Rhinolophus ferrumequinum: one gene and its partner. The protein of the gene in region 2 interacts with the protein of the main gene of each other region in a biochemical or structural test. Links are inferred from orthologs where the notes say so. Each region holds a gene or a part of one and is shown on either strand. Other genes may lie near its edges.

What was found.
Region 1: the proteins of MAP4K1 (region 2) and CRKL form a complex in vitro, tested with the Homo sapiens proteins (2 studies listed by BioGRID). The link is inferred for Rhinolophus ferrumequinum from reciprocal best matches to the Homo sapiens genes MAP4K1 and CRKL.

The regions. Positions count from the first base shown.
Region 1 is NC_046308.1:23,323,836-23,333,721, forward strand, and holds the start of CRKL (crk-like protein), read left to right. Parts: upstream 1-5,761; 5' UTR 5,762-6,261; coding exon 6,262-6,572; intron 6,573-9,886. UniProt on the Homo sapiens protein: May mediate the transduction of intracellular signals.
Region 2 is NC_046298.1:37,983,563-37,994,249, reverse strand, and holds the start of MAP4K1 (mitogen-activated protein kinase kinase kinase kinase 1), read left to right. Parts: upstream 1-5,902; 5' UTR 5,903-5,958; coding exon 5,959-6,057; intron 6,058-6,218; coding exon 6,219-6,276; intron 6,277-6,393; coding exon 6,394-6,484; intron 6,485-7,212; coding exon 7,213-7,277; intron 7,278-8,732; coding exon 8,733-8,788; intron 8,789-8,877; coding exon 8,878-8,925; intron 8,926-9,089; coding exon 9,090-9,132; intron 9,133-9,228; coding exon 9,229-9,301; intron 9,302-9,804; coding exon 9,805-9,936; intron 9,937-10,349; coding exon 10,350-10,412; intron 10,413-10,494; coding exon 10,495-10,576; intron 10,577-10,687. Other genes in the region: EIF3K (eukaryotic translation initiation factor 3 subunit K), read right to left, coding at 967-1,087, 3,670-3,768, 4,601-4,659. UniProt on the Homo sapiens protein: Serine/threonine-protein kinase, which plays a role in the response to environmental stress. Appears to act upstream of the JUN N-terminal pathway.

The DNA of each region.
Region 1 (9,886 bases), on a different chromosome or scaffold from region 2:
CAGATTCAAAACAGACATTTCAGAACAAAATCATTCTAAACCATTAATATTGAATAATTAACGGCCTTGGAAATTAGCTTTTGCTACAGACTTGATAATGTTCCTTAATTAATTTAACCTAAAATAACAGGGCAAAACAGTGCTTATATGTGAAATGTATACTGCAGAATTTTGTCAGTAATTAATGTTGTTTTGAAACACAAGTAACATTAAGCTGCTTTATACACTTCCCGTGCTGTCAGAAGTTAAAACAAAAGATCTCTCTATTCCCACACAAATTTGCAGCACATATATTTTCTGAACTCAAACTACAGTTCCAGCAGCATTTATAGACCTTGATGCCAAGTGCAACAGAAATTTTCATATTTCAAAATCCATTTAATTATGCAATTGAGGAGATTCTACCTAAACTTCAATTGAAGATCATTAATCTGCAATGTAACAAGTTAAAAGGTAAGTATCAGAAGAATCTAATAAAATTCCATACATGCCTTCTAACAATGAAAATGTTCAATTAAGATCATGCTCATGGATTGACTAGCAGTATTGGCAGTAACATCTGAGTGAAAGACATTTTCAAAGATTAAGTCTATAAAGTCTCGGGTGGCCCGCCGGTTTGCTCAGTGGTCAGAGCGCAGCGCTCGTAACACCGGTCGCCGGTTCAGTTCCCACATGGGCCAGTGAGCTGAGCCCTCCACAACTAAACTGAAAACAACGACTTGACTTGGAGCTGAACTGTGCCCCACACCTAGATTGAAAGAAAAAAAAAAAATGACATGACATGGAGCTAATGGGTCCTGGAAAAAACACACTGTTCCCCAATATTCCCCAATTAAAACAAAACAAAACAGAAATATGTAAAGTATCATTACAGATCAGCACTAATAGCTCACCATCTGACGATAGGGAACACTAGCCATTGAACCCCAATTAAGCAAAATATTATCCCCAAAAAACAATTCCATTCTTCTCATTAGTATACCTGGATTACAAAATGATTACTTAATTACTATAATTTGCATTTCATTTTTTTAAACTGTAGAAATTTTTTTCTTGTTATTTAAGTACTTACATAATATTCTTGATTTTCTTCTTGGCCTGCAAAGCCTAAAGTATTTTACTATCTGACCCTTTACAAAAAATATATATATATATATGTGGTGACTCCTGATTTCTAAAGGGATGCATAGAACTGACTTCTTTGAGATAAGTGTAAGAGGGAATCAGTGTTCTCTAGCAGAAGGATCATTCTGCTCAGAATTTTACTAATGATACTCCAGAGTACTCTGAAATCCAGGAGAAACAAGAAAATTTGCCTTTCAGCCCACAAGTAGCTAAGTGACAAGAAAGTGGACATTACATAAAAGGTAACACAGCAATTAGAAACTACATTAGAAAATGGGAAGAAGAATATGACTACACTTTAAAACACTGGAATAAAGGTCAGTGCTTTCGATAGTGGTTAACAGACCTTCTGGATATGGCAGCTAGGCCTACTTCAGAGATATTACCCTATGAACAAAATGATTATTTTAAATTGTTTGGTATGGAAAATTATAATGGGTATATGAACATTATTTTATTAGTATTGTAGTAATAAAGTAATAGCAGGAAAAAAAGAAATCATCAATAAGCTCCTTTTCTGTTTTAGGAGATAAACTTAGAAATACATGTAAAACATGGGGGAATAGGGACTGAAAAGAACTGATGAATGAGAGAAAAAATTTATTACTTAAGAGGGGAAAAGTTCAAAGAATCAGGTTAATAAATGCAGTAGAAATTGAACAGGTCAGTGAATTCTTATGGAGAGAGCATCTGAGAATGTCTGGCCTTATCAAGTCAGTGAAATAAATACTTCACATACTTCCCCATCGACACGGTCATGCCCCTTTTACCCTCAGCATCATTGCTAGAAAAGAATCTAGGGCAGGAGGAAGGGACAGACACTTGTTCCTCTCGTGTCCTCAGTAAGGCAGCAATGTAGGAAGACTGCCTGGCTTACCCATCAGCCAAAAGGTTGGACCTGACCAGAGAGGGGAGAACAAAAAGTCGGTAGTGGGTCTCAAGGTCGTGTCCTCTGTACAGAGGCAGCCGCAGGGCTAGGAAATAAGGAATCCAGACAAGTTGCTCTAAAATCCTTGTCAGTCCTTTGAATCTAGATTGTAAACTTCTCAGAAGATGAGTGTTAAGTGTAATACCACGTGGAAACCCTGGGAATGAGCAAGCTAAGGCAGAATCACAAATCTTTATATTACAGCCCTTTTTTAAAATGCTTCTTTGTTGCTTATCCATTAATTTCCATTTTATCTCTTAGCATCTAGGAACACTTTTTGGAACTATTTTTAAGCTTCTCTCAGCTGTGCTGAGGAAACATAAAGGAAAGTACTAAAAAAAATTTCTATTGTAAAAATTTCCAAACATATACAAAAGTAGAACAATATAATCCCCCCTACACACACATCATGTCACTCAGTTTCAACAATTATCAACACAAGGCCATTTTTGTTTCACTTTTATCCAGTCCACACCCTATTTCCCACTGGACTATTTTGAAGCTAAAGGAGAGGTATTTTGATCAATTTTTAAGAGGAATTTTTAAAGAGGGGAGCGTGGCATTTTGGCAGCAGAATGGTGGTGCTATCTAAAATCCAAGCTGGGGGACAAATCCAACCCCTATTTCAAGACTGATATTCCTTTCTGGTGCTAGAATCTATTTCGGAGGGCCTCAGTTTCGCTATCAGCAAAACACAGAATATGGACTAAATTATAGGCAGTTGGGTAACAGTGAAATGAGACCTTGACTTCAAGTCAAAAGATCTGGCTTAAGAGTCCATTCAGCTCTGCCTTTTGCAAATTATATAACTTATAAATTATGTAAGTAACACTTAACCTCTCTGAATTTCTATCTACAAAAGGGTACTTCATGGGACTTTGGTTGAATTAAGTAAAACAATGTATTATTTGAAGTTTTGTGAATTAAAATGCGCTATATAAATTCGGTTTTATTGAGTTCTTCAGTTAAGTAAAAGATGACTCAGATTTGAATCTACAAATTAGGAAAACAGTGATGCTATTGACAGAAAAGGAGAAGCTGAAAGGCAAAGTTTAATCCAAATGGAAGACTAAACAGAGAGGGAGACATGGGGCTAAACCTTTGATCCAAATATCTATTTAAAATACATTCATTATGTTAATAATAGGAAATAATTGCACAGTCTCCTTACCCTCAGCAAAATAAATGTTCAGTTTTCTCTAGCTTCTCCCTGTCTTTATCCACCTACATAAAAAAACCATTTATTAAGTATGTATTATGTGCTGGGCATTGTGCTAGGCAGTGGGAATACAAAAAAATAACACCACTGTCTGCCTCCAAGATGCTCAGATTAGGAGACACACTTATTATATAAACAATTATAGTAGAATCGGATAAGAATTAATTTGGGCGGTGACTACTGTTTGCACAGTAATCATAGGGTGTGGTCAGTTTTTGTTCTATTTTTAGAATATACCTGTTTCAGAGTCACCGACAGAGAGGTGACTCCTAAAGCCTTCATCATGGTCTACGAAAAGAGAAGCTGTAGAAAGGTTAAGGACTGAGCTTCTCCACAGAGGCTGGAGACAAAAGTGCCACAGGAAGAGGCTGAGAAAGTATATTTGGAGAGGTGGAAGAAATTGTTAGTGTACTAGGAGCTGGGGGCAGGGAGAAAAGTCTTTTCAAAAAGAGATTTTTAGGGCTGGCCCGGTGGCTCAGATGGGCCTAACTCCATCTCCTAACTCCAAAGGCTGCCGGTTCTTCGATTCCCACATGGGCCAGTGGGCTCTCAACCACAAGGTTGCCAGTTCAATGGTGGGCTCCGCCCCCTGCAACTAGCAACGGCAACTGGACCTGGAGCTGAGCTGCGCCCTTCACAACTAAGACTGAAAGGACAACTTGACTTGGAAAAAAAGTCCTGGAAGTACACACTGTTCCCCAATAAAGTCCTGTTCCCTTTCCCCAAAAAAATCTTTTAAAAAAGAAAAAAGAGATTTTTAGTATAAACACTTAAAGCTAGGTAGATCAATGGATTCAATGGAGATCACTAATGATCTCCAAAGACCAGTTTCAGGCAAAGTAAGGGTAGAAGCCAAACGAAGAAGGCTGAGCAAGGAGTGCTCAGTGAAGTGGGAAAATCTGGCAGTGAAAATCAGCTAGAAAATCAAATGGAGATTTTTCTCTCCACCCTCACACACCCATTTTAAGATCTGCACTTTTTTTAAGGCTATGGGTAGAAGGCCAGGGAGAGACTGAATAAAAATAATGAAAGATTCTTATATGATACTTAATATGTGCCATGCACTATTCTTAGTACTTTACATGTATTAGCCTGTTTAATAATACATGAGGCAAGGATGGAATGATTAAGTAACTGGCCAGAGGTCACTCAGCTAGTCAATTGACTGAGTCAAGATTTGAACCTCAACAGTTAGCTTCAAATTCTGTGCTATTCAAGTTGTACCTGAGGTTGCCTTTTACTTAACAGAAGAACTCAATAATACCTAATTTAGATAGTGCATATCAATTCATGAAACTTCAAATAATACATGAAAGTGTGTGGGCAATTGATGAAAACGTGCTTCTGCTGAGTCACAAAAGGCACCAGCCCATGACCCTTGAGTTTACCCTAGGATGGGCATCACCTATCACCCTATACATTCTAGGACATGTTCAACCTGAAGGAAGGGGATGTGCAAACAGCCAAAATGAAATTGCATTGAAAGAGGGATCTAAGCATGGGTTTGTACTGCGTGCATCTCCCTTTCTGGACATGCTTTCTTTTCTGTTCAATTCAGGGAGTGGTGCTACCAATAATCGGGCACCAGGAACTTCGAGGTTTTTTAATATTCACTCAACAAATATTTGAAAGCATCAACTTAGGGCCCGACATTGTGCTAGGCCCAGAGGTGAACAATTCAGACAAGATCCTCTCTCAATATTTACAATCTAGTTGGAGGGTGGGGAGAACAAAGACTAGGAGGCCAAGGCAGGAGAGGGGTGAACAAGGGGGAAGATTAACTCGGAGAAGCCAGTAGAATCCCTGGCAGGCGAGGCCTTGAGGCCACGCCCAAGAGGCTTTTGTATTTAACTTGCATCAATTCAGCGCCAGTGACCGCCAGATTACCCTAAACACTTTCTAGACCATTTAATCCTGTCAATCCAACCTTTACACCTCCCACTTGTGCCTGTCGGGTCACCGGGTCACTCTGGGTCCCTAGGCCTACAAGGCCTCCTCGGGCCAGGGTCACCTACTCCCCCTATCTAGTGTCGCCTCAGCCCCCACGATCATCTTCTTGAGCCACCTCGGCCAATCCGGGTTTATACTCCCGTCGGTCTCTCTTAGCGCGGGTCTCCTCCGCCGGCCAGGTCACCTCAGTGACACGCTACCAGGGCCGGAGGTTCGGCCAGCGCGTTACGCTTTGTTCCCAGAACAGGTTTTCGAAATGCCTCTCCCTCTCGGCTCCAGCTGTTTTCCTGCCAGTGCGGGGAGACCCGGCAGAGGCAGCGCCCCCGGCGGCGCACAGTGGCCCAGGAAGGGAGTGCCCGCCGCCGCCAACTTCCCCACCTCCTCAGCCTCCTCCCGGAACGCGGGATAGCGCGCGAGCGGCGCACGCCCCGGCCGTCTCGGCCGAGTTCCTGATTGGCTATGCCGCGCGACGTCACGGGGAGGGTCCCGGCGGCAGCTGGTAGGCGAGCCCGCGCGTGCGCAGACTGAGCGCGGTGAGCGGAGGGGGAGGTGGCCGGCGGCTTATCTCGCGTCCGCCATTTTGTTGCTGTAGCTCTTGGGAACCGGCTGGGCAAAACCGCCCTAGAGGCGCGACGCTCTTTGGACTCCGGTGTTTGGTGTGTCAGCGGGGGTTGGCGCAGATCCGTGGGAGCGCAGAGCCGACGCGTTTCAGGTCAGGAGTGACTGGAGGCACCCACGGACGCCGAGCATCCCGAGAACCCCGGGGCGGCCTCTGCTGCGGCTCGGCTTCACCCGCCCCGACCTCAGGCTCTGCCCGGCATTCCCCGAGCCGGCTCCCTCCGTGAGGCGGCCCCGGAGCAGGCGGGCGGAGGCGGAGGATGCTGCGGGCCCAGAGCCAAGAGGAAGGTGCTGGCTCGGCCCTCTAAGCGCGCCTTGAGGTGTGCCGAGAGGCCCTTCTTCGGTCCCAAAGCCGTCTGGCGGGCAAAGGCGTCCAGAGCGGGCAAGAGCAGCCGCCGCCCCAGAGCGCCTGCCCGACACCATGTCCTCCGCCAGGTTCGACTCATCAGACCGTTCCGCCTGGTACATGGGGCCGGTGTCTCGCCAGGAGGCGCAGACCCGGCTCCAGGGCCAGCGCCATGGCATGTTCCTAGTCCGCGACTCCTCCACCTGCCCGGGGGACTATGTGCTGTCGGTGTCCGAGAACTCGCGGGTCTCCCACTACATCATCAACTCGTTGCCCAACCGCCGTTTTAAGATCGGGGACCAGGAGTTTGATCACTTGCCGGCCCTACTGGAGTTCTACAAGATCCATTACCTGGACACCACCACGCTTATCGAGCCCGCGCCCAGGTACGCGAGCGCCCGCAGCCGGGCGCGCTACGCACCCCGACCCCCGAGGAAGGTCGACAGTGGCTGGGTTGGTTCGCTTGGGGTCCATCCAAGAGTGTGTGTGGGGGGGGGGCGGGGAGAGGGGTCATTGAACTCATTTCCCCCTATTCTGAACCAAATTACTTTCCAGAAGCCTTTCGGAAGGGAAGGCTAGTGCCAGGATCTGGGTCACTGTGGATGAAGGGGATGTGTCTTAAACAGATTTAACGGCGGTTGCATAGATAAAATGTACGCGTTTTGCTTTTCATCACATTCTTTATTTGGTTATCATGCTAAAGGAGGGTTTTTGTTGTTTTGGGATTTTTTTATTTAAACCTTTTTTGGATCACAGACTTCTTTGAGAATATTAATATCGCCGTGGCATTCTCCCTCCCCCCAAAAATGCACGTACACACAAGTTTGCACGCCATTCAAGGGTCTTGGACTCCCTGCAGATCTCTGAACTCCAGGTTAAGAACTCTTGGACTGCAGCCTTTGGAACGATCGACAAATGACAATGCTTTAGCGTTTAGGAACAAAAACCTTTAAATGTGAAGTAGTATCAGAACTGTATGTCGATACCTTGGTGCCAGGTTTGAAATAAGCCAGACACATTCTATTTTATCATACATCAGTTACAAAAAAATCTTAAAAGAAGGTGCATTGGCTTCAGTGAGGGCATTTTATTTATTTATTTTATTTTACAGTTTTCCCCCAAGCTGGACCGTTAATAGGCTAAAAATCCACTTGGTTTAATTTCAAGGAGGAATAAGGCTAGAATATTTGCTTACTAAGGGAAATTTTTAAAAGACACTTTAATTCTATCGTAGTTCAGTTTTAGATTTTTTTTGTATTAAGTCTAATGATTTAATACCTTTTAAAGTTAACAACCCTAAGTGACACTGAGCATCAAGCATCCCCTTTTGTAAATAAAATGCATTCTTTTATTTGATTATTTGCTTTAATTTGTCTTAGTCAGTATTTTATCAGATGTTTCTTTCATGCCAGATTTGAGCTGAAATTATGCCAAATTTGAGCTGAAGAAATTGCCTAGAATTTTAAAAATAAAAGGTATTTCACTGTCCAATTTGTTTCTTAAACATCTATTTTAAAAATACAGGAGATTTTGGGGGATGAGATGTTTCTGATTTTATGAATTTGCTGACGAGATTACTCCGAGCTTGAATCATTATAAGGTATTATAATTCATTAAGGAGCACCCTAAGTGTTGGCTTCTGTGGAGTAGAGATAGAGAAAAAAACAAAGCCATGACAGTATAATGACTATGAGATTAACTGCTGAAGTAAATGGACTTTAAAAACTGGGACAAAGTGATTATAAATCAAATACTGTGTAACAAAGACCTAGACACCAAGAATCTGGTGAAACTCCAGGTCCCCGAAGATGCTGGTAATTGGACTCACTTTGAGCACGATATAATTACAATGTAAGGGATAGAATCTTAGAATCCATGGTAGTGAGATTTTGTAATGTGTTTACGTAAATGATTTTCCTAACTTGGGAAGGTGAATCATATCATGAATTTCAGGCATTTATTAAGCCGTGCTATGGGCAAGGCATTGTGCTTTCTTGAGGTGACAGGTACTATATACTATAGCTGTTTCAAAAAGTGTAAGTAAATGGCTTGATAGGCCTCAGTCGCTTCCCACTACCCCCAACAACGACTCCAAATCTTCCATACACTGTGCCTTCGGAGATGTGATCGATGCCTGTCCTCTCCTCCCACCTTGACCGCCGCCCCGCTAGGCCGCTCGCTCATTCCCGGAACCTTTGCGCAGGCTGTTGGCTCTTCAGTGACTGCCTACCCACCCACTCCTCACTTACTGTATTGAAATCCTACCTGTTGTTCCAGGCACCTCTCAAATAATAGGACCTTTCCCTGACCCTCCCCCTCACATTCAGCTTTGATTAGTTCTCCTTCTCTGTGCCCTCCGCCCCAGGCGTGTTGCTGTAATTTAGTTTTTCATTTTCCCTGGTATCTCGGAGGGCCTTCACAATGCTGGCTGAATTAGATCCTGACTGGAATGACTTTGTTATACTGAATCTTTGCCTCTCCCCAGCCTGAAATTCACGGATTTGGTTTGATGTGTTATTAGCCTTTGTAGAAATCTAGAGGCTGGTAAAACCTTGGCCAGATGCAAAAGTCAGTGTAATGATTTTTCACACCCCAAACAGGCTAGATTAAGTGGGTTAGCTTTTTAGGCATCATAACTGAGCTCTTGAAGCCAGAATTTCATACGCCGTGGCTAATAGTTCGTTTTTTTTATTTTGCTCAGCAGAAGATCATAACTGTATGACTTAACTCAGAATTTAAGAATTGGTGCTTGTTTTGTTCTAGTCTGATTTTTTATTGCAATGTTCCTTAACTTTTAATTTTATATTTTTATTCAAATATTTACAAGAAAATTTTATCCCAGAGATAGGGACTAGGAAAGATGGGTGACAGATATTGCTTTCTTCATCGTGGAACTACATTTTAGTGGAGGAGGCAGAAAAGTAGAAAAATAAATAAAATACAAAATTAAGAAATGCTATGAAGGAAGTAAACCTAGGCCAAGAAAATATAATAGAAGGGACTGACTTGAGCTTATGTGGTCAGAGAAAGCATGAAACTACCTAAGGATAGAGAAGAAAAGCAAGCCTTGGAAAGGTTTAGGCTAAGGGGAAGAGTCTTCCAAGCATAGAGAAGAGCTTATGCAAAGTCCTGACATGAGAAGCCAACCACATACTGGGAGTCTGGTTCTTAAAGGAACAGGTTATAAGAAGAGTTTGGAGATACTGTGGTCAAGGTAAGGAAATTGGGTTTTATTTAAAGTGCAGTGGGTGCTGTGGAAGGAGTTTGAAGCAGGGGAGGGACCTGGGGCTGTTACTGTAATCCAGGTGCAAAATGATGGTGACTGATGACACAGTGTATGTCATAGGTCATACAGACATAGACTGACATAGAACACTTTGGCTCGGAGATGCCTATTTTGAAGATAAGATTGATGCTGATGGGAAGGGGATGATGGGGCAAGAGAAAGGAGAAACAGAGATGACAGTGGTGTATTTGCAGCTTTGTGTTCTCTGGGTTTATCTCAGTACTGCAATTGCTTTTTGTATTTGTGGTGTTCTTGTGGTGGTTTTTAAATTTAACCCCCAAACGGTATCATGTCAGATGGCTTTTGTTGATTTTGAATGACCCTAAAGGATTCTCTTTCTGAGGGTGTAATTTTTATATTACAAATCATTTGATAAACAGAAAACCTGTGGTGGTTTTCACTTCCATTTTTTTT
Region 2 (10,687 bases):
GCCGTTTCTCACCTTAGCCACTAACGGGCAGGTATGTGTGACACCCTTGGGATTGTGAGCTCTACAAGCATAGGGCCCAGCATAGAGGACTCTGCCAAGTTTCTCAAGTGATTAAAAAAAGGCTGGAGGCTCACCTGGCCAAGGGTTACGCTACGGAGGATTTTGCTACTTTCTGGTCAGCCACAAAAAAAAAAGAAAAAGAAAAAGCAGTTGGGACAGGGGGCGGGGGTGGGAATCAATTCACTGATTTTTTTCATTAAAGGCCAGCACTGTGTCACATAGGCACTGAAGCTAAATATAATGAAGTTTAACTGACAATCTATCTCTTCACAGTTCCTGCCTGGTGCCCAGCCTCCAGCCCCCAGCCCCCCCTGCCTCTTGCCTGGTTGTCTTTACTCAGCTAGGAACCCTCATGGGAATCTTCCTAAAGCCTAAGTACCTCCATGTCTCTGCAGCTTTAAAGTCTTCTCTGGCTCCCCAGTGCCCTGAGTCTGATCAAATTCCCCTTTGAAACCTGTGACACAGCTTATGCTGAACTTCTGTGGCCTCTAAAAGAGCACTGAGCTCTTCTTTTCCTCCAGGCCTCCCTACATATTGTTCTTTCTGCCTGGATCACTCTTCTCTAGCGTTTCACTTAACAACTCATCTTACAGATGGCCCCTCCTCCAGGAAGTGTTCCCTAACATCCAGGCAGGGGCCCCCTCTGGCCCCCGTACCTCCAAGCCCTGACTCCAGGCTGTCAGTGACAAGGGACCTGTCTCCCCCACTGGACTGTGAACTCTGTAAGGGTGGGGCTGTTTCAGGCACCATAGGACACCAGCTCCACCCAGCACCAGGCCACACCAAGAGCAGGTAGGTACTCAGTGTTTGTGGCTAAACTCGCAGACGCCTTCCCTAGGAGTACACCTCCCTTGCCCCGTCCCCCACCGCCCCGCATACACCCAGGCCTGAGAGCTGGAAGGATACATGTGCCTGGTCGATCATGCACTTGCACAGTGTGAAGTCGGTGTGGGGCAGGTTGGTGAGGGCCTTTAGCAGGATCTGGGCGGTAACTGTGGTCTGAAAGAACGCTGGGTTGAACTGGTACCTGAGAAGGGAAACAAGACACATAGCAGGAGTGGCATCTCCACGTCCCAGAGCCTCGCCAGGTGCCAGGCACGTTACGTGCACTGCTTTGGCCTAGACCCTGGGAGCTGGACATGCCTGGGCTCCAATCCCAAGCACAGCACTCTCTGGTTAAGTGACCTTAACCTCCCTGATCCGACCCTATTTTCCTGCTCTGTGCACAGGGACAGCTAATCCTTACAACCACCCGGTGAGTCAGACACTGTTAAGTGATTCACAAAAAAATGAGTACACAAATAGCAGCCTGGAGTAGTGGTTAAGGCTCTGGAGCCAGACTGCCTGGGTTTAAACTTCCTGGCTGAGTGACCGTGAACTACGTATTTTAAATTCTCTATATGTCAGTTTCCTCCCTTGCAAAAAGGGACAGTGACAACCACACCTACCTTCCCAATACAGCATCTGTGTGAATTAATATATACAAAGCTTAGAGCACAGCAGCTACATGGTGAGCACTTAATATATACAAAGCTTAGAGCACAGCAGCTACATGGTGAGCACTCACTACGCAGCAGTTATCATCAGTAACATTCTACACAACCCCACAAATACAAGCGTTGTTATCGCCATTTTACAGAGATCAAAACAGAAGCTATGAATCTGTACAAATTACACAGCGAGTACTGTGTGAATTTAAGAGGGAAGAACCCAAACATCCGTCAACAGAACTGATAGTTTGGACACAGTCACACAGTGGAACACTATACAGCAATGACAAGCACACTGTTGCCACATGGAAAATGGGTGGATCTCACAGACGCAGAGCTGAGGGGAAGATGCCAGAAGAAGGAGAATTAGTGCTGTGGGACTACACTTGTATCAAAGCAGGCAAACCTGAGCTACGCTACTCGAGATGCATATATGTGTGGTAAACTCACACAAGGCCAGGCCACGAGAGCATAAGTGGTGGGAGCGGCAGCACAAAACCTATGCAGCAAAGGGCCTGGGGCAACCCTCAGTTTTGCAGTACGGATGGTGATCACATGGGTTACTCATTTATAATTACTTGTTAAACTACATACAATCCCTCAGTATCCATGGGAGTTGGTTCCAGGAGCCCCTGTGCCTACCAAAATCCACACTCAAGTCCCTTATATAAAATGACATAACATTTACATATAAGCTTCACACATCCTCCCACACACTTAAACCATCTCTAGACTACTTACAATACCCAATACAATGTAAATGTTTTGTAAGTAATAGTTACACTATATCGTTTAGAGAATAATGACAAGAAAAAAAGCCTATATGTGTTCAATACAGGTGTAAACATCGTAGGCCAAACAACAAGGTGTGATCAAAAAATATGATGACTGTTTAAATGAAAAAAAAAATTACTCAAGACACATTGCCATTAATCCCCCTCAAAGGACACCCCTTCCTTCAAACACACTTACCCCTAATCCCCCTCAAAGGACTCCCCCTTCCTTCAAACACACTTACCCCGTCGTTCTTGCCACTTTCTGAAGCAGTTCTGGAAGTCCTCTTTTGTGAGTGTTTTTAAGTTGCGCTGTCTGGCTGCCTTGATGTCCTGAATCGATTCAAAACGTTTACTTTTCATGGTCATTTTGACTTTGGGGAAGAGTCAGAAGTCGCACGGTGCCAGGTCCAGTGAATCAGGTAGATGAGGACACCGTAGTGTTTTTGACAGAAAATGCCATACCAGCAGCGATGTGTGACACGAAGCCTTCCCGTTGTGATCACAAAATACAGTGAATACTGCTGCCGAGTGCCACCCAATGGAAAGGCGGGGATCTTCAATATGGGAAGCGGCGGGTCAAACCTTAGTAACAGTGTGTGACCAGTTTCAACTTGTTCGGTGCAGTCAGTCCAGTGTGAGCTATGGTTGAAAGAAGGTGTGTTTTAAAGTGTGTCATATATCATCCTCTACAATGACAACGCTCCGTGTCACACATCACTTCTGGTACGGCAATTTCTGTCAAATAGAAACATTACGCTGTGTCCTCATCCACCTTACTAACTGGATCGGTCCCCATGCGACTTCTGGCACTTCCCCAAAGTCAAAATGATTCAGGACATCGAGGCAGCCGCGACAGTGCAACGAAAGACACTCATGAAAGAGGACTTCCAGAACCGCTTCAGAAAGTGGCAAGAACGATGGGATAAGTGCGTTTGAAGCAAAGGGGAGTATTTTGAGGGGGATTAATGGCATTGCATCTTTTACTATAATAATTTTTTTTTAATTTAAAAATCCACCGTACTGTTTGATCACACCTCGTACACAGTACACATTAGCAGTAACATCACATTTTGGGGGAAATAGTTTCGATCTTCAGTCAGTTGAACCCACGGACACGGAAAGCTGACTGTGTGTGTTTTACGTACTAGTCTATAGGTGATTTGTAATTCATAATTTTTTAAAAAACCATCCCTCCTCCTGCCCTACCTTCCTTGACTTCCTAGTCTTGCACACCAACAGAAGCCACACCCTGCAAGCTATGCCCAACTCCCGCCCCACCCGCTGTGGGGAGTCGCACCCTGCTAGCCCCTGGCATGGGGGTGGGGTTGGAGGCAAACACTCACAGCTTCAGAACAGCCAGGTTGGCTTCCAGATCATAGGCATTCTCCTTGGCCTGTGTCTCCACATAGCGTTCCAGGGTGGCCAGATTCTCAGGGTTGTACCTAGAGGAGAGTCAAGATGGGTGAGCGGAGAGGAGACAGGAGATGCAGCCAGTCACTTTATTGGGAGGGTAGGGGGACAGTAACCTGCTCCTCCCCCCCTTCGTTTTAAATATGGCATTGGCCACTTGCTCTACCTAAGTCTTGAATCAGCTCTATGAACTCTAATAAAATTTATCCACATCCCAGACCTGAGCCTACGCCCTGAACTCCATCACAGCCCTGGGTCTGACGCCTAGGATGCCTCCCCAGACTCCACTCAGTCATTGCAGCCTGTATACCTGACCGCCTGGACATCTTTACCGCCCACCCTTTCCTCCTCTCCCCAGGCCCCCACCCCCGTCTAGCCCCAGCCTCTCCTTCCTAGCTTCCCCCGTCCCAGCCCTGACTGCTCCCAACTATCACTGTCTATTGTCAGTTTGCCTGGACTCTGAACTGAGAACTCCATGAAAGCACGGCCTACAGCTGTCTTGGTCACCTCTGATCCCCAGCATTGCCCAGCATCGACAGTAGATTTTAGTGAACATATGTTGGATGAATGACATGAGGGGGAAAGAAGGAAGAGATGAAGAGGCACAGTGAGAGGCTGAGGAGCAGGCAAAGAGGAAACTGAGGCGCTGAGAGGACGTAAGGCAATTAAAGAGGGAGGCTGAGAGGTCGGCAAGGCTATCTCTTGGCTCTAAGTCTTTGCAATGCTGTTTCCTTAAACATCTCCTCCAGGATGATGGAGAAATCCCACGCCAGGGCAAGCCCAGCATTCTGACTACCCCTTGCTGTCTCCAGAAATTCTTCCACCCCGTTCGGCCAGCAGCGCTCCCTCCGACCGGGCTCAGACCTGTCGATCCCCTTGAGCAACTTGCCCACGTTCGCTCTCATCTGCTCAAACATCGCCATGACTGTTGTCGCTTCCCACACCCGCGGGTTGGAGCCGAAGTCCCTGCCGATGCACCTTCCTCGAGGACCGGAAAAGGAAGAGGCAGCGGAAACGGAAATACGTCACTGTTTTCTCTCAAGCCCCAGGGGCGGTGAAAGGGAAGGCTTTTGCGGCGGCTGCCACGTGACTTCTTCCCAACAGGCGCAATTGGCGCGTGCGCATACGCGCCACCCGAGCTGGACCAAGCGCGTGAAAAAAAGTTTAGTGCGCCGGCGCCTTCTCAGGGCGAGGAGGCGGGGCTCGGCTTTTCCCCGGCTGTGCTCCCTGCTCTGCCGGACTTGGGGTCGCCCTCTCCGGGAAGGAGAAGGGTCTTTGACCGCGTGCGCGCACGTCGCGTTTCGCGCGGCAGTGAATTCACGAAACTGAGTTGGAATGCACGTAGTAGCGCTCCCTTTGACCCGTGGCCAACTCCCAAGGGAGGTGCTCTCCGAGGGCCCCTTTCCCCCAGGCCTGAACCCCTGAGGCAGCATTTGAGCTCCGCAGTTTCAAGTCCGGAGACTGGTCCTCACGCTCCACCCTAACTCCAGGGGTAGAGGCCCGCAAAGCTGTTGTGCTCTGCCCGGTAAGGGCGGGGATGAAGGGCTCTTGGACCCCGCAGGATTGCGCCCAGTCCCCATAGACTCCAGTCTTGTGGGTGAAGGCAAGCGCCCCATGTATGCTGTCATGTTATGGGTACAGATTCTGCACACTGCAGGCGTGAATGCACAGGCATGTGTCGTGCTCTGGGTACATAACACGTGTGTATGCAGGTATCCAGGCATGTGCACGTCGACTGGTCTGCACCGCACGAGGGTATCACTAAGTGCATGTATGTGCCACAGGTTAACAGTAACGTACATTGCATTACTGTTGCAAACCTGCCACTCTAGGTTGTGGCCAAACCCTCCAGCACTCAGCAGAGGTTCATCTGTGGTTTTCAGCCACCGCCCAGAACGGGGGAGGGGGTGCTGAGGCACCCACCAGCTCACACTTAAGATAGTTTGCATCTGGTTTACATTCAGCCCCAGGCCCTGAAGGTGGAGGGGGGTCCCCTGGGTCCCAAGGCAAGCTGCCCCTCAAGGCTCTCAGGGCCCAGGGGACAGGGGGTGGAGCCGGCTGTGCAGCCGGGCTGGGGCAGGAAGCGAGAGTGGGGAAGGGGGAGGCCACAGCCGGTGGAGGCAAGGCGGGTGCAGGGAGTGTGGGGAGGGAGGGAGGTGCCAGCATTTGAGCCCTGAGGCCCTGCTGGCCCCTGGGCGCAGGCCCAGCTCCAGCCCCCAGGAATGGACCTCGTGGACCCGGACATCTTTAATAGGGATCCCCGGGACCACTATGACCTGCTGCAGCGGCTGGGTGGCGGCACCTATGGGGAAGTCTTCAAGGTGAGGACCCCCCCATCACCCTCCAACTAGTGACCTTTGGGGTGAGGCCCAAGAAGGGAAGGGGATGTGAGAGGGTCCCAGTCCTTGGCATTGGCTCAAGGATGCTGAGGAGGAATTCAGGGGAATGGAGCCTGTCTGACTGCCAACTTCCCCTTCACAAGGCTCGAGACAAGGTGAAAGGGGACCTGATGGCACTGAAGATGGTGAAGATGGAGCCTGGTGAGGAGAGAACCCAGGAGCTCCTTCCCCACACCCCACCCCCACCTCCTGGGACACTGGGATTGTCCCCATACTCCCTCCCTGCAGTGGCCTTTTCTCTCCTGCCCCTCCTCACAGACGACGATGTTTCCACACTTCAGAAGGAAATCCTCATCTTGAAAACTTGCCGGCACGCCAACATCGTGGCCTACCATGGGAGTTATCTCTGGTGATGAGCCTCAGACCTGCCCTAGGACCCCGCCCAGCCCCTACCCCAGCACTCCCATTCCTGACCAGAGTACTCCCTAACCCGACCTCCAATTCTGGACCCCCATTTTTACTGGGGCATCCCTAACTTGATCCCCAGTCCAAACTCCCACTTTTCTGAACAGAACACCGCCTAATCTAACCCTCAGTTCAGAACTCCCATTTCTGATCATGGGTCCCCAAAATTGATCTCTTTATAGTAACCAAATCTGAAACTTAGTTTCCTAAAACTGATCTTTCATCATCCTGCCTTTCGGATCCCCCAGTTTCCCTCTCTGCTCTTTCAATATGAACCCCTAAATTCCTTGACCCTCAATTTAATATCCCAGATGCCCCAATAATGACCTCTGTCCCCCAGACCTGGCACCTTGGGCCTCTGTGTCCCTTTGAACCTCTGCAAGTTGTGAGATCTCTGCCCTGTTTCTGAGGTTATCATGGGACAGTGGAGGGAGCCCTGGGTTAGGAGCCCAAAGACCTGGGTTCAAGCCCAGTTGATCCTGAACATACATTTCCTCTGAGCCTCAACTTCCCATCTATAAAATGGAAGTGGGATCATCCCACTCTGGCAAGGGGAGATAGAGAGATGACAGCTGTTACATTAAAATTCAGAACAAGACAGTGAGCCAGGGGCTGTCCTATCAATTATAATTTATTACTATTATTGTTATTACTACTCTTGCACTTTTGTAGGTTGCAGAAGCTCTGGATCTGCATGGAATTCTGTGGGGCTGGTTCTCTTCAGGACATCTACCAAGGTGAGAGGAAGGGCAAGGGGATCCAGGAAGCTCCCGCCCCTCCATCCACCCCTCCTGTCTCTCTGTGTTTGTGCCGCCTAAGACTGTTTTTCTGGTCCGTATTTCATACAGTGAGCCCCTCCTCTGGGCCTGGGTCTGGCTGGGGGTACTGTGGGACCGAGTGGACCCTGGTCCCTGCCCTCTGGGACCTGATAGTCCAGCCCAATCTTTCTACATGCAACCATCCCCTCTGTCCAGCCCCATCTTCCTCTATGTCTGCATTTTCTCACCGTCTATTCGTGTGTTTGAGTATTTCTGCATTTTTTGGCTATAGTAGGTGCCCACATTTTCATTGAATGAGTGAATGAATATCTGATCCTCTCTCTTGGCCTACTTTTTCACGCTCTTGAAGAATTTGATGGTGGAGATGGAGTGGGTCTCTGATCACCTCTCAATTTCTGATGCCTACCTCTGTCTTTGACTATCTTCCTGTGTCCCTCCAGCCCAACACTTCAAATGTCAGAAAAGGAATGATTTTATTACAAAGTCCTCAGGGAGGAAACTGAGGCCCACAGAGAGGAAGTAACTCACACAGCCAGACCGTCAGACCTGTTTTCCCTCCACCTCTCTCTGTCATTCCCTCTCCACCCTCTCTCTGTATCTCTCTTTCGAAATGTCTGTCTTCCCACTTTTTGGTCTCTTACCACCTCTTTCTCTATCTCAGTTTGGATCTGGTCCCGCTTCTGTCTGTCTGTCTCTGTGTACCTCTGCCTTTGCTCATTTTGCAGAGTCCCATCGCCCCGGGTAGGGCCCTCCCATGGCTTCCATTTCCCTCTAAACAAAGCCCTCATCATGACCCATGAGTCTGACCACCACGGCATCCCAAGCCGAACCACCTCATCTCCTGCCCCGCGTCCACCCACTTCGCTGCTTGTCAAGCCCACCAGACACCCTCCCACCGCCCAGCCTCTGCACCGGATCTTGTTCCTCCTCTGGGGGGGAACTGCTCACATCTCCATCCTATCACTTACTCTGTACACAGAGTAGCCTTCTCTGACCAGCCTGTGTAACAAGTCATCGCCTTCCCATGTATGTTTCCCGTGGTCCTCGTACTCTGTTTTTCTTAGTATGAGCATCTCCTGCACTGCATATTTTACTTTTTCTGGTTTACTGTTGGCTTCTCCCACTGGAATGTTCTCTCCAGGAGGGCAGGGATCTGTTGCTCTCGTCCAGTGCCTACCACAGTGCGTGGCACACAGTAAATACACAGTAAATGTCTGCTGTCTCCCTCTGGCCTCTGGTTCCCTGCTGATTCTTTCTTTCGTTGATCACCCCTCCATCTCCCCACGTACTTGTCCCTTCCTGTATGCCCCTCTGCATGTGGCACCCTCTGGGCTGGTGTGGGCGGGGACCCAGGGCTCCCAGGGCCAGGCTTCCTGGTTCCCAGCCAATGCTGCCCTGGGGTGATCTTTGCAGTGACAGGCCCCCTGTCAGAGCTCCAGATTAGCTATGTCTGCCGAGAAGTGCTCCAGGTGAGTGGAGGCCTGGTGGGCCTGGGTGGGGCGGGGCCCTGCTCCAGTCCCCAGGCTCTTACAGCCCCCATGCCCACCCTCCTCCTCAGGGACTGGCCTATCTCCACTCACAGAAGAAGATACACCGGGACATCAAGGTGGTCTAGGGGCAGAAAGGTGGCTGTGGTGGGTGGGGGGCCCAGGAGGTGGGAGTGTTATTTGGAAGGTGTAGGGCGGTTGAGCTGTGGGGCGGGGAAGCAAGAGGCAGTGTTGGGCCGGGAATGGTGGTCTCTGCCAGCCGCTAATGCTCCCTCATCCCCAGGGAGCCAACATCCTCATCAATGACTCTGGGGAGGTCAGACTGGGTGAGTGTGGCTGGGGGAGTTTGCAGAGGGGGCCTGGCTGGGGGCCTGAGGGGACAGGGGACCCCAGGTCACTATGTCTTTTCTCTCTGCCTCCAGCTGACTTTGGTATCTCAGCCCAGATCGGGGCAACGCTGGCTCGACGCCTCTCTTTCATTGGGACACCCTACTGGTGAGGGGTACCCAGCGGGCAGCTAGGGGTGCAGTGGGGAGCAGGGCCTTTTCTACCTTGATCTCTGGAAATCTTCTGGCTCCTTCTCCCTGAATCTGCCTTGCTCTGTTAACATTCTGTCTTCTCTTTGTCTCTCTCTTGAATTTTCCATTTACTTAGGTCTCTCTGGGCTCCTTTCCACCTGTTTCTCTAAGTGTTTGTGTTGATTTGTATCCTGGTCTGTCCCTCCCTATCTGTCGATTTCTGTCTTTTTTCTCTGTCTCAGTGTGCACCTCTCTCTGTCTCTGTTCTTCTATCTCTCTCACTCTCTGTCTCTCTCTTTGTCTCTTTCTCTCCATCTTTATGTTTCTTTCTGCATCTGCCTCTCTCTATGCCTCATCTCCCGTCCCCCCCATTCTCCTTCTTACTTTGCCTCTCTCCCCCCTCCAATCCCCACACCAAGGAGCCTCCCCTCCCCCTCCTTCTTGTGTCACCCCTGGCTCTCTGAGGGTCTCTGCCCCCAGGATGGCTCCAGAAGTGGCAGCTGTGGCTCTGAAAGGGGGATACAACGAACTGTGTGACATCTGGTCCCTGGGCATCACAGCCATCGAACTAGCTGAGCTACAGCCACCGCTCTTTGATGTGCACCCTCTCAGGTAGGCAAGTGTGGCAGGTCCCCCAGAGCCCAGATACCCCGCCCATTCCTGACCCTGAACACACCCCCAGCCTGCCTCCCCACATCAAGACCCTCCTATGGGAGAACCCCTCTTTCTCCAAGCCCAGTCTGAGACCCCCCAAGGATCCCCTCAACCCAGAAAGCATTTTCTTCAGTCCTCCACACCAGGAACCCCCAACTCAGCGATCCCCATTTTGAGCCTCCCTCTGGACTGCCACAGCTCTATAGTGTGATAAGAGGTGGCCCCTAGAAGTGGCGGCCCAGTGCATCCTAAAACCTAAGCCTCATTCTCATTCTGTCCCTCACTTGCTCTTTGCTGACCTCAGCGCGACTGGGGGCCCCTCAAGCCCTCATTGGGAATTTGAACCCCATGTTCTCTCCTCACTCCTCTAGAGTTCTCTTCCTCATGACCAAGAGTGGCTACCAGCCCCCTCGGCTAAAGGAGAAAGGCAAATGGTAGGAGAAGGTGATTCAAGGGAGGGCAGAGCCAGGGTTGATTGTCTGATGACACAGTCTCTGGTCCCTTCTTCCTCCTAAGGTCGGCTGCCTTCCACAACTTTGTCAAAGTCACCCTCACCAAGAGCCCCAAGAAACGACCTGGTGCCACCAAGATGCTCAGTGTAAATGTCCCCTCCCCGAAGCCCTCCCGATTCTCACCCCAGAATTCCCCAGGGCCACATGACTCCCTAGAGCATTGATGGTTTAGTTCCATAGAACCCCATGGCCCTTTC